3 linked regions of the Caenorhabditis elegans genome follow. The protein of the gene in region 2 purifies or fractionates together with the protein of the main gene of each other region. This does not show direct contact. Each region holds a gene or a part of one and is shown on either strand. Other genes may lie near its edges. The genes, in order: such-1, emb-1 and apc-1.

Evidence for each region.
Region 1: the proteins of emb-1 (region 2) and such-1 purify together in Caenorhabditis elegans (affinity purification with mass spectrometry, with the first as the bait; one study listed by BioGRID). This does not show direct contact.
Region 3: the proteins of emb-1 (region 2) and apc-1 purify together in Caenorhabditis elegans (affinity purification with mass spectrometry, with the first as the bait; one study listed by BioGRID). This does not show direct contact.

What each region holds. Positions count from the first base shown.
Region 1 is NC_003281.10:11,521,605-11,526,054, reverse strand, and holds the start of such-1 (Suppressor of spindle checkpoint defect 1), read left to right. Parts: upstream 1-2,295; 5' UTR 2,296-2,296; coding exon 2,297-2,496; exon of another isoform or gene 2,497-2,501; intron 2,502-2,547; coding exon 2,548-2,673; intron 2,674-2,743; coding exon 2,744-3,007; intron 3,008-4,450. Other genes in the region: Y66D12A.16 (Spen family transcriptional repressor), read right to left, coding at 1,181-1,456, 1,513-1,651. UniProt on the Caenorhabditis elegans protein: Probable component of the anaphase promoting complex/cyclosome (APC/C), a cell cycle-regulated E3 ubiquitin ligase that controls progression through mitosis and the G1 phase of the cell cycle.
Region 2 is NC_003281.10:5,170,904-5,174,624, forward strand, and holds emb-1 (Anaphase-promoting complex subunit emb-1), read left to right. Parts: upstream 1-2,535; 5' UTR 2,536-2,542; coding exon 2,543-2,674; intron 2,675-2,743; coding exon 2,744-2,857; 3' UTR 2,858-2,906; downstream 2,907-3,721. Other genes in the region: prp-19 (Pre-mRNA-processing factor 19), read right to left, coding at 1-88, 152-890, 987-1,139; K10D2.5 (uncharacterized protein), read left to right, coding at 1,887-2,012, 2,057-2,149, 2,196-2,333; cid-1 (4Fe-4S ferredoxin-type domain-containing protein), read left to right, coding at 3,089-3,170, 3,468-3,721. UniProt on the Caenorhabditis elegans protein: Probable component of the anaphase promoting complex/cyclosome (APC/C), a cell cycle-regulated E3 ubiquitin ligase that controls progression through mitosis and the G1 phase of the cell cycle.
Region 3 is NC_003280.10:11,105,493-11,109,942, forward strand, and holds the start of apc-1 (Anaphase-promoting complex subunit 1), read left to right. Parts: upstream 1-2,668; 5' UTR 2,669-2,731; coding exon 2,732-2,785; intron 2,786-2,838; coding exon 2,839-3,168; intron 3,169-3,212; coding exon 3,213-3,642; intron 3,643-3,927; coding exon 3,928-4,074; intron 4,075-4,078; exon of another isoform or gene 4,079-4,120; coding exon of another isoform or gene 4,121-4,325; intron 4,326-4,379; coding exon of another isoform or gene 4,380-4,450. Other genes in the region: C09H10.9 (YqaJ domain-containing protein), read left to right, coding at 1-34, 79-217, 266-393, 438-470; nasp-1 (Protein NASP homolog 1), read left to right, coding at 1,144-1,256, 1,308-1,674, 1,724-2,299, 2,358-2,450; glb-4 (GLOBIN domain-containing protein), read right to left, coding at 4,121-4,325, 4,380-4,450. UniProt on the Caenorhabditis elegans protein: Probable component of the anaphase promoting complex/cyclosome (APC/C), a cell cycle-regulated E3 ubiquitin ligase that controls progression through mitosis and the G1 phase of the cell cycle.

The sequences.
Region 1 (4,450 bases), 6.4 Mb from region 2:
TTCTTTAAAATGTATCAGAATCGTCAGTTTTTCGATTTCAGTCGTAAAATATGCCATTTTGTAGAGAAAAGTCTGTTTCACAAAAATCCATGTTTGACATTTCAAAATTGTTTTTATTTAAAACCTGAAAAATCGAAAAAATAAGCTTTTAAAGGTGGAGTAGCGCCAGTGGGGAAATTGCTTTAAAACACGCATATGGTACCACAATGACCGAATATCATGATAAAAATTTTTTCTAGATTTTATATGATTTTTTGAAAATTGAAAAAATCTCAGTTTTGCCTAATTCCTATTTGAATTACCGCCAATTGGATTTGTTCGATGGAGCGCGCTTGCACGTTTTTATTTTTATTTATTGTTATTTTTTCTTATTTTTCACCGACTTTTCATGTTTTCAGTGTATTTTTGTCTGAAATTTGAAGAAAAAGTCAAAATAAATGCTAATTTTCGATTAAACAGCACGCTTACAGGCGTTAAATTAAAAAAATGCATTTAAGCGATTTCGAACCCGAATTAATTAATTTCAAAAAATAGCATTTATTTTGACTTTTTCTTCAAATTTCAGACAAAAATACACTGAAAACATGAAAAGTCGGTGAAAAATAAGAAAAAATAACAATAAATAAAAATAAAAACGTGCAAGCGCGCTCCATCGAACAAATCCAATTGGCGGTAATTCAAATAGGAATTAGGCAAAACTGAGATTTTTTCAATTTTCAAAAAATCATATAAAATCTAGAAAAAATTTTTATCATGATATTCGGTCATTGTGGTACCATATGCGTGTTTTAAAGCAATTTCCCCACTGGCGCTACTCCACCTTTAAAAGCTTATTTTTTCGATTTTTCAGGTTTTAAATAAAAACAATTTTGAAATGTCAAACATGGATTTTTGTGAAACAGACTTTTCTCTACAAAATGGCATATTTTACGACTGAAATCGAAAAACTGACGATTCTGATACATTTTAAAGAAAGCCGTAGCGAATCCTTCCTGTAAAACCTTCAGTTTTCGGTCAAATTTCATAATTTCACACATTTTAAATTCGGATGATGCTTCTCAAGAATATTATAAAACAAAAAATCAAAAATAATTTCCTATAGAAGCCAAAAACAGCCAAAAACTGCTGTCCCCGCGAAACGAATTCCCGCGAATTTTGGAGTTCGTGAGGTGCCGCATACATCTGTAATCCCTGCGAGTTTCGTTTCTTCGATGGTGTTCCTTCAATGGACGTCGGTGGTTTTCTCGTCTCTTATCACGCCATTGATGCTCCGATCTCAAAGTGCCATTACTTTCAGATTTGGCGGGAGACTTCAGTTGCTCCATATCTCTCGACAATCCACGTGACGATGAGAAATCTTGAGTTGCGTAGGAATAGGCTCCATAATACGAGTCACGGGCCGCTTGATTAGCTTTTTTCACATCTTTTTGGTCTTCCGAGTCGGAGGACGGCTTGTCTGAAAAATGAAATAAAAAGATTTAAAAAAATAAATTTTTAGCTTCAAATAAATACCGTCAAAAAAGGATCCAGCTCCTTTACCGAACATTTCAAATGGCTCAGTTTCTTGTGTGCTCGGCGCTGGCCAAGGATTCGGTGCACGGCTCGTTTCTAAATTTCTTCCAAATAATTCTTCTACGGCGATTGAAGTCATTTTTTATTGAAAAACGCGTTTTAAAGTGAGAAATGCGTGGATTTGCGCATGAAAAAATTTTAAAACACACAAAAAAAAATTTGAATGACAAAAAATGTCGTGGCGAGACCCACCGCGCTACCGTACCCGATTCTCTGCGTCTCTCTCGATGTGTGTGCTGAAGAGCGGTCTCTCGGAAAACAAAATTTAATTTGTTTTGTTTTTATTTTATTTTGAAGTCGAAAATTTCCGTTTTCCCTATTGTTCAGTGTATTTTTTTCGGAGAAAATCAATAATTTGTCAGATAAATTGCATTTTCCATCATTTTCGCGCGAAAAAAACCGTCCAGTAACACATTTTCCGATGAATTTAGGCCCGAATCCCTGTTTTCTGGTTTTTTCTCAATTTTTGTTCGATTTTTCAGTGTTTTTTGCGCAAATAATCAATAATTTGCCGAATAAAGTGTATTTTCATTTGTCGCATAAAAAACACATTTTCTCGATTTTTTGGCAAAAATTCAGATACATTGCTAAATAAAATGTATTTTCCATGATTTTTCTCAGAAAATTCGTTCAAATGCGCCACAGACAACTTTTTGGCGCGCGCGCGCTTTTCAAAACCCGTTTTCCCTCATTTAAATGCATTTTAACCTCAATTTCTTCCAGAATGCCTCCGAAAAAAGCGCAAACTCGACGAATCGTCAGTCTGGATTCACTTTTTGGCCATACTCTACTGAATATCACCGGCGAACCTGTGACACCAACGAAAATCGCCATTTTTCAACTAATTCGCACACTTTTTCACGCACATTTCGGAGTTGGCGCGGTGCCAAGCCTGAAGCCTTTCGATAAGGATGAGAAAACTCGGTTTTTTGGAATAAAAATGTTGAAAATGAAAAATAAAATTTGGTTTTTCAGAGTATTCACAGTTCTCTATGGCTTAATCATCATGAAATCTGAAATTTCCTACGACGATTTTCGCTGTATCGTGAGAATTTTGAACGATGGGCTCGGGCGATCCATTTATTATCGATTTGTTACAAGGTTTTCTAGAATAATTTTTCAAAATTCCGAGTTTTTTCAACACAAAAAACGTGATTTTCGTAATTTTCAGCATGGAAAAGCTCGCGCACGGTGAAGATCAAATAGAAATGCTCTTTGAAGACGCATTCTACACTGCAAAACGTCCAAATCACGAGAAAGTGCTAAAACGTGAAGATTCTTGGCTCGACGAGCTCACTTTTATGAATAGCAACTCGTTTTTGTATATTTGGATAAAACGCGTCATGATGCAGTACACAAGAACCTCGCAGAATGGAACTTTTGAGATTGCAGAGAAATTCCAAAAATGGATTATTTCAGGAACTTTAGAGATTATGTATGAATTTTCACTGAAAAATTGCGATTTTTTGCCTTTTTTGGGTGGAAAAATTCCGTTAAAAATTCATTTTTTGGTCAAAAAATCGCAAAAATTGTGTATCTTTCCGTTTTTCTTTTCAGTAAAAAAAATCGAAAGCGTAAATTTCGTTCAAAAATTAATTTAAATCCCCACTTTTCTGGTTTTTGAAAGCTTTTTCGTCCCTAAAGACCAAAAAAAGTCTCCTAAAATAGCTTTTTTTTTAAATTTTTCACCAGAAAATAGTAATTTTCACGAATTTTTGACAAAAAAAAAAAGATTTTTGTTTGGGTTTCTAATCGAAAAATGCCGAAATAATCGTAATACATTGACGAAAAAAATTTAAACAATTTTTTTACCGAAAAATTCTTTTCAAGGTTTTTCCACCTAAAAAAGCTGAAAAATTGCATATTTTGCGTTTTTTTAGACCGAAAAATCGAGTTTTCGTAATTTTAAGACTGAAAAATCGAGTTTTCAAGGATTTTCCACCCAAAAAAAGAAAAAATTGTAATTTTTGGATTTTTTAGGAAATTCTGAAAACAGAAAATTTTGCTTTTTAGCTTTTTTTTCTTTTTTGGGTGGAAAAATTGAAGAAAAAAATGTTTTTTCGGTTTGAAAAGCGCTAAAATTGCAAGTTTTTTGCTTTTTTTCTGTAGGAAATCGGTGAAAATTCGATTTTCAGTCAAAAAACCGGTTAAAATTGATGTTTCTTTTGAGTTTTTCAGTCGAAAAATCGTAAAAAATGCGAATTTTTTGTTCTTTTGAATGGGAAACCCTTGACAATTCGATTTTTCGGTATAAAATAAATTTTTTTGAGGTTTTGTTTTGAGAAAAATCAAACAAGAAGCGTTTTTCGGTAGGAAAAACGTCAAAATTGCGAGTCTTTTTGCTTTTTTCTGTAGTAAAACGTTGAAAATTCGGTTTTCAGTCTAAAAACCGGTAACACTGATTTTTTTTTGGGTTATCAGTCAAAAAAATCGTTAAACCCGTTTTTTCAGTTGAAAAATCGTAAAAATTGCGAATTTTTTGTTCTTTCGAATGGGTTCAAATTTTTTTTCGTCAATGTATTACGATTATTTCGGCATTTTCGATTAGAAACCCAAACAAAAATCTTTTTTTGTCAAAAATTCGTGAAAATTACTATTTTCTGGTTAAAAATTTAAAAAAAGCTATTTTAGGAGACTTTTTTTGGTCTTTAAGGACCAAAAAGCTTTCAAAAACCAGAAAAGTGGGGGATTTAAATTAATTTTTGAACGAAATTTAAGCTTTCGATTTTTTTTACTGAAAAAAAAACGGAAAAATACACAATTTTTGCGATTTTTTGACCAAAAAATGAATTTTTTACGGAATTTTTCCACCCAAAAAAGCCAAAAAACCGCAAATTTTCAGTGAAAATTCATACATTTTTCCTTGAAAAATTTTTTC
Region 2 (3,721 bases):
GATTTTCCGGAACGAATGTCGGAGAATGCCCAGTAAGAATCATCAGAAGCGGAGAGAATGTAATCACCGGATGCATTGAGGGAGATATCTGTAAAACATTGTTTGTTCAATAGAAGAATTACAGCTAGCGAATTTTTTTCAAATATCTCACCTGTAACGGGTGCCTGATGGACATCAATAATAGCCTTCGAAGACGAATCAGTTGCACTCCAGACTCTAATATGTGAATCAGCAGAAGCAGAGATTGCAGTAATATTATCCGGATGCAAAACAACTGCGTTGATCTTCTTGTTATGCCCCTTGAATGTTTGCATAACCTGTTCCTTTTCATAGTCATACAAGACAACGGTTTTATCAATTCCTCCGGTAAGTGACAAATTTCCCTTGATATCCAATGCAGTAATTCCAGGAGTTCCAGTCGAATGAATTCCAGTGTGAGATGCTGTCTGTTTCAGCTCGGCGAGCTCTTCTGTTTTGGCAAGTCCTTCAGGAAGATTTTTTCCTCGTTGTTTACGTTCAGCAGTCAGACTCTTTGATTTCTCTTCAAGTTTTGCCAGAATTGCCTCACTAAGACCTTGTTGATCTTCAGACTCGTCAATGCTGACATCATCGTCAACTTTCGCCGATGTGTGTGGTTTCAAAGTAGACAATGCTTCTCTAGCAGCGGTCAATTCTTTGGAGAGGCGGGAAATAACACGACAAGCGGCATCGTGTTGGTACAGAGAGTGAGAAAGTTCTTGACGAGCAATTTGGAGTTGTTGTCGGAGAGAGAAGCTGTTGAGCATTACTGTATCCCACTCGTCTTGAAGCATTTTTAGTAGAGATGGGATGGATGTTCCAGAGACATTGCGTGGTGCTGATCCAGTGCCGCCACTTTTCAATGAAACGAGCTAAAAAATGAATTTTAGAAATTATTATTTTGTTTTTTCAATGAATTATCATTTCGAAGTTTCACGTCAGTGAAGATAATTGCAAGGTTGACAAACCTGGTCTTCAGAAAGCTCTCCATGGCTGATCGGATCTGTTCCGTTTTCGGCAATGAATTTAACGATCAGCCGACGATCAAAGATGTGCCCTGAGACTTGAGAGACGACTGGGTCTTCGGTCAGTTCACCACTGATTCCGCACACGAAAGACATCTCCTGAAAGTAGCAAAATATACACGAAACCGCTTGATTGACGTGGGACATAAACGAAGAAAGTTTCAATGCGAATTTTGTAGGATAATTACATTTATCGAACGAGTGGTCAATAAATACGTACTCTGGCTAGTGACTAATCGAACGGCGCATTGGATCAAATGTTTTAAACTTGTCTTTAAAAGAAAATCTAGAATTTTAACCAGTTTTTCATGAAAAAATGCAAGTTTTCAAGTCAAAGGAATTCGAGACACCACGGTTTCAAGATCTGATGGGATCCCGGATCTACGTTTTCCGGATCTACCATTTCCGGATCTACGTTTTCCGGATCTACGTTTTCCGGATCTGGCACCGTGCCAACGCACAAAACGCTTTTCAACGCACGACTTTTTTCGAAATTTTCTTCTAGAAGAAACGCTTAAGAACACGCGACGCGTAACATCGCAGCGTCGTTGTCACTTTTTTCTTCGAAAAAATAGCGTTTTAAGAGTTGGCACGGTGCCAGATCCGGAAAACGTAGATCCGGAAAACGTAGATCCGGATATGGTAGATCCGGAAAACGGAGAATCCCACCAGATCTTGAAACCGTGGTGTCTCAGGAATTCCATGCAATGAGAATTCGAAAAACTGCAGTGGAGCGTACTTGCTGCAGCTTTTCCGGGCGGGGCCGAAGAAATGTCGGCCATGAGACTGGGGAATAAAAACGATTTGAAAAAATAATTTGGATTTGAATTTTCTTCCCAAAAAATGCAAATCGGGGAATATGAGCTCACTTTCATCGATGTTGCGGTGTTTGTGGTGTTTCTCGTGGCTTTGAATAAAATTGTTAAAAGGATGCTTGTTGCAAAAATCAATGAGCCAGCGAAATATGAGGTAATTTGCAAATAAATCTTGGGATGTGAATTTTTGTTTCTCAGATCGAACAGCTCGAAGAGCGTGATATGACAATGGAAGAAATCGAAAGCATGCGCCGCGAGGAGAACAGGTGCCTGGTCATTGTGGAAGACAAAGTAATAAAATACTTTTCGGATTATCAAAAAAATAAGTTTATTTCAGATTTACGACCTCTCTGGCTCACAAGATCTCTATGACAACAACCGCGATCTTTTCGAGAGTAGTGAAGGATGTGGACCTGAATGGGCACCGATTTGTGCTAGGAAATATCCATTCGTCGGACACGTTTTGAAGAATTAATTAAAATCTCAGCGGGAGTTTGATCAAATTTCGGGTTGTTTAAGTTGTGTCAGTTACATCGTGTTTTTTTGTTGTTAAATAAAACGGTTATTTTTTTTCATACATTGCTTTTTACATCTCTTATTATTATAGGCTGAAACAACCTTCATTTTACTTTTGCCCGTTTTTTAGATGACTTTGATTCAAAAAACCACGTTTACAGATCAAGTATGGCTTTGATGTACCCATTCCACGTAGCACAACCTCCACTCAACTGGTCCGAGCACTTGTGGGTTTCCGAAGTCTCACCAGCAAAAGAGTCATTCATCACCACGATTTGTGAGCACCGTCAAGCTCAATGGGTACGTTTTTATTTCAAAATCACACTTTTCTGAAAAAGTACATTGTTGTTCATTCTAAATTTATTGCAGGATAATCAAGATCTTCTGCGTCACTTGCAAGACAGTGTGGCTATTCTGACTCGTGAAGATCAACGTCATGTGAACGCTGTCCATGCAGCAGCAAATATGCCTGCAAATCCTTGAATTCCCTATTCTACACCATATTTATCTGTAAATAAAACTCGATTTGGCATACCATTTTTTTTAATTATGGAATTCATTTCCGAGGTACTGACCTCGTTATTACCTAATTTAATATTTTGTTCTCAAATTATTCCAGATTTTATTCAATCGCTTCTTTTCAGTTTCATTGGGAAAGACGAACCGAATAATAGGTATTAATATTGTACTGTAATTATTAAAAAGAGTTGTGAGATGACCGATGAGCAAAGGTCTGGAAGTAGGCGGAGAGGAGGAGCCCTTGGAGGTGGAAGGGGAGGAAATAGCCAGAATAGTGGTGAGTTCATGACTAATCATTTTTAAAAATTCATACAATGAAGTATATTAGGCCCTTCGTATTGCTTAAAGATTGAGGTTTTACTGTTCTTAGTATTCAAAAATACCGTTGATTCACTCTCTACTATAACTTTTTCCTTATCAATCCTGAAGTTATTGAACAGTTTTAGCAGAAACGCCACTTTTATTTATTTATCAACTTTCTTATCAAACAAAGTGAAAACTTTATAGCAATTTTCGAACAGAGTGTTCTTCATTTTTTCTTAATTTTCATATTGAACTAACATTGAACTTACAGGCCGGAAAAGATCATCAAACAGTCCAGCTGATTCGGCTTCCTCCTCCCAAAAGACGAGCAGAAATCCATCGCAAAATCGTCCTCCAATGAACATCGTTCCTCAAAAAGTCACAATTCTGAAACGAAATCAGGATTCTCAGCCAACATCTCCAATAAATCGGAATGCGCCACCAGGACCCTTGGTTGCCGCTGTACAACCATTGATGGCTGTTGAATTGGGCGATTCGGGAGCTTCATTGAAAGGATGGAATTCA
Region 3 (4,450 bases), on a different chromosome or scaffold from region 2:
TTTTGTGTATCCGGATGTCGCCGACCATGTTAATGTGAGGATCTACATTTTTTTTCACCTGTCATTACAAAATTTCAGGCATTTGAAATTTCGCTGATAAGAATTACGGAAGCCGGCACTAACAAAGCTCAAGGTGTATGTAAATATCCGGATAATAAATTCACAACGATCCGAACGCCAGTTTTCCAGGCTATGAATTTGCAGGAGGACAAAGAAAGTAAGTTTGATAGTGATTAAACGAAATTCAACAAAAACTAGATTGCAGATCTGAAATTGTCGGACCATCCAGTTCTCCTCGGCATTCTCTCCAAACCCCCAATCGTAAAATGTGGAGTAAAACGACGACACGACTCAGAAAATGGGGAAAACGAATTTACAATAAAATTAAAGAAGGTATTGAAACACAGCAGTTAAACATAATTTTAATTTCTTTTCAGAAATCGCCTAAAACGACTTCTGAGCGGACTTAATTACAACTTGGAAGATTCTCAACAATGTGCCATCGAGTTTTATGTGATATACAGTTTTTCTCTAGTATTTAGAATAAAAGTTTTTAATAAATTCATTTTGTTAAAGAACTAGAAGGAAAATAGGCAAAAGAAAATGCAAAAACAAAAAAGAAAAAATAAAGAAAACTCCAATTGCTCGTCATATGTGATGCGTTACAGTAATATCTGTGCGGCACGCAGACGCAACATTGCACAGCGCGGGAAAATTTGTTGTTGACAATTTAAGTTTATACTCCCAAAAAATTGTTTTTTCTCTTTTCAAATGAAAGTTTTGCTGAAGTATTGTGTTTATTTTTGTTTAATTAAAAGTTTTTAAGCGGCGGCAGTGTTAATAAGTGATTCAAGCTGGAATTATCAACTGAAATCAACCAAAAAATCGGCCTGTCGGTCTGTTCTAGCGGTAGAATTCTAAAAACATCATGAATACAGTTTATATGTTTGTTTAAAAACATTTATTGATAAACCTTTTCGAAACGTACTAATTCCCGCCGTATGGCCGGTTTTTAGTGGACTAGGCAACGCTCGGTTTCTAGGCTCTCCCGCGCTATTATACTCATTTGAATTTATCCGCTTTTTATTGAATTTTGAATATATATCGAATAGTATTTATTTTCAGATATTAACAAATCAGAAAATGGACACTGAAAACATCGCCGACGCCTCTGATATTCGTGTGAAGGATGCTTCAGGAGATTCAGATGAAAAAGGAAACGGGACTACTACAGAAGAAGAGACTGTCGAGCAGAAGTAAACTTTTGCTGCAGAATATCATCAATAAAATCACTTTTCGTATTCCAGAGAGAAGCGTCTCGCCGAGTTGCTTGCAGCTGGACGCCGTGCGTTGAAAGTTAACGATATCGACAAAGCATCGGATTCGTTGAGTGAGGCTACTGAACTGAGCTCCGAAATTTATGGAGAAAACCATGAAAACACGTTCGATTCTCTTTACTATTATGGCATGGCCACACTGGAATTGGCGAAGGAGGAGAGCCAACTTCTGAAAGGTCCAGGTGAGAAGGAAAGCGGAGATGAGGAGCAAGCTGGAAATTCTGATGACAAGACTGACGAAGAGAATGGAGAAACGGAGAAGGAGGACGGAGAGGAATCCGGTGAAGAAGAGGACGATGATGATGATACCATGAAATTATCATGGGAAATTCTTGAGGTTTCTTATTTTATTCAATGATTTTATGCTTAATTGTGATTATTTTCAGACAGCTCGTTGTATTGCCGCTGCCAAAATCGAAGCTCTAGAAGCTGAGCAGAGTGGAATCAGTGCCATTGAGGAATGGAACCTGAAACTCGCTGATGTACTGGTTCTCCTCGGCGAGCACGGAATATCAGATGGAAAGTATACTCAGGCTTTTGAGGACTTGGATCGTGCCCTCAACATTCAGCGCAATGTTCTTCCACCGTCGTCGAGAAAAATCGCCCAAACCTACATTCTCATCGGAAACGCGTGTGCTAGCGATGCGAATTACGATGAAACCGTTCAGTACTTCGGCAAAACCAAGGACGTACTCATCGCCAGGCAGACTGAGTTGAAGCATGAGCTGGAAAGAGGTGTTGATGATAAGGAAAAGAAGTCTGAATTTGAGAATGAGCTGAAGGAGCTTGAAGAGATGATGCCAGGCGTTGAAGAAATGATTGCTGATGCTGTGCACTCTGCAGCACAAGTTGAGGAAACTAAGAAGGCCATTAAAGCGCAATTCGAAGGATTCACACAAGTATTGGCAAAACTTCCACAAGAAGCCGGTGATCAGAAGGAAGCAAATGATATTTCTAGCTTGGTACGGTTTGAATTAACTTCCCGTAGACTTTTTAAATATTCAATTAACAAATTTCCAGGTTCGTCGTCCAGCAAAACGAGCAGTGGATGCTCCAACTGACAATCAAGCAGTGAAGAAAGAAAAGGAGGAGGAAGGAACAACTTCGATCTGAATATTGATAACCTGTAATTCTAAATATTTCATCATGATCTGACCTACTGAACTACTGATAATGTATCAATTAACATTTTATCTGTTATCCGAATTTAAGGATTCTAAAGTAAAACTTGTTCTGTATATATATATTCGCCATATATTCGTTTTTATAATTTGTTTCAAATCTTTTTCATACTTCCAAAATAATTTTACTATTTAAAACAGGATTTTCAGCTTCATTCAAATTCGAATTATACTTGTATGAGTGAAGAATTTGATGATTGCCATTGGAAAAATATGATCTCTGCTAATAAACAGTTTGATATTCAGCTGGGAGATGAAATTGGAAAGGTAATTTTTTTTAGATAATTAACAATTTAAAAAAAGTAAACTTAAATTTTCAGGATTTCTTCACCCAGGATACAGTGGTCTGCGCGTTTCGAAACAAGGAGAAGACCACGGATTTTGTCTTCACATCGGGTCCAATTATTCTCATTTGTGATGGAACGACGCGACGGAAGATGATTAAACGACGGTTCAAAATGGAGTTTGATATCAAAAAAGTGTTCTTCCACTCGTTCATTGTGACTCGAAACGCTGAAAAGTTGGCAACTGAGAATTGTGGTGGACCTGATACGAAGCATCGGGATTATTTGGTTGTGTGCGGTGAGCATAAGCTCCAGTTCATATCGCTTCCCGACTATCATTTCTATCACTATGAAATTCCTTTTAAGGTGAGAATTTAGTTTGAAATTCTGATAATTTCAAATATTTCCAGCTTCGCAACGTGTTCTCCTGCTCGACAAGTCTTCTGGTCGAACGGTTCTACGATTCATCCAGCGAACAAACCTTCCACCATCACGACACATTTCACCTCTACTCGCTATCCGGTCCATTCGGCGAGCTTCTCCCGGTTATCTACAAGACAAGCGGCTACCATCCACAATGGAAATTCTGTTGGCAATCGCATCGAGACGAGGCTGGACTCGTTGACGCTCAGCAAAATTACGTTGTTGTCTATGATCAGAAGGAGAAGACGCATCGGATTTATATGGCACGAGAGACACAAGAACAGGAAGTTCACGCAGCGATTCGATACGTTGAAGCACTCAGAAGACCGTCTGATTCAACAATGTTCGCGTCGAGTTTGGCGCCGAATTCTGCCGGCAGAACTACGCATTTTGATCCGACACTCAACTCTCCCGCCGGTAATTTTTGAAAACTTGAGCTTTTGGATAAATATATTATTCGTATTGTATCAGACATTCAAATCGTCAATATTTAGTTAATTTACAGTGATTTAAGTTAAAAACCAAAAAAACCTCGTTTCGAACAGGAAATAATTCGATTTTCCCCAAAAACTACTAAAAAAATCAAATGTTAAATTAGAAAGAGTTGTGATTAAAAACTAAAAAATAAATATTTTCAATTATGATATAGTGTGGAAGTCCGAGTTAATTTATATTCAACAAAAAATCATAATTATTTTCCAGAAAATGTGCTCTCCGAAGTGATCAGCTCGGAAATTGATAGCCGCTCACCGTTCACTCCTCATCTGCGATCCGGTTTTGGACATTCTACTCCAAACAACCCGAACGCTCCAGGCTACCCTGCAACACTTCCAACACCGAATTTTGAAGGTAATTTTTTTTTTTAATTCATAAAAATTTATTAGCACCATTAACCTCAAGTCGTGGGCGATCGTGCACGATGATGATGATCAAAATTTAAAAGTGTTATGCTTCGCCGTTGCTGATGCGCTCGTCCTGGCACTCGATTCTGTTTGACTTGATCTTCGAGGGGGCTCAATTGAGACGTCAACTTGAGCAGTTGAATGTCGCAATTATTTAGAAGAATTGACGGGTTGTTGGGAGAAGACATACGGCGGTTTCTGAAAATACGTGAAGTGAGAATTATAGCTGATGTCCGTCAAATTGTTACATACCGTAGTGCTGTGAAGTCTTGGCTATTCCTTTGAAGAGCTCCACCCGCGCGGAACATACTTCTTCGTCGATA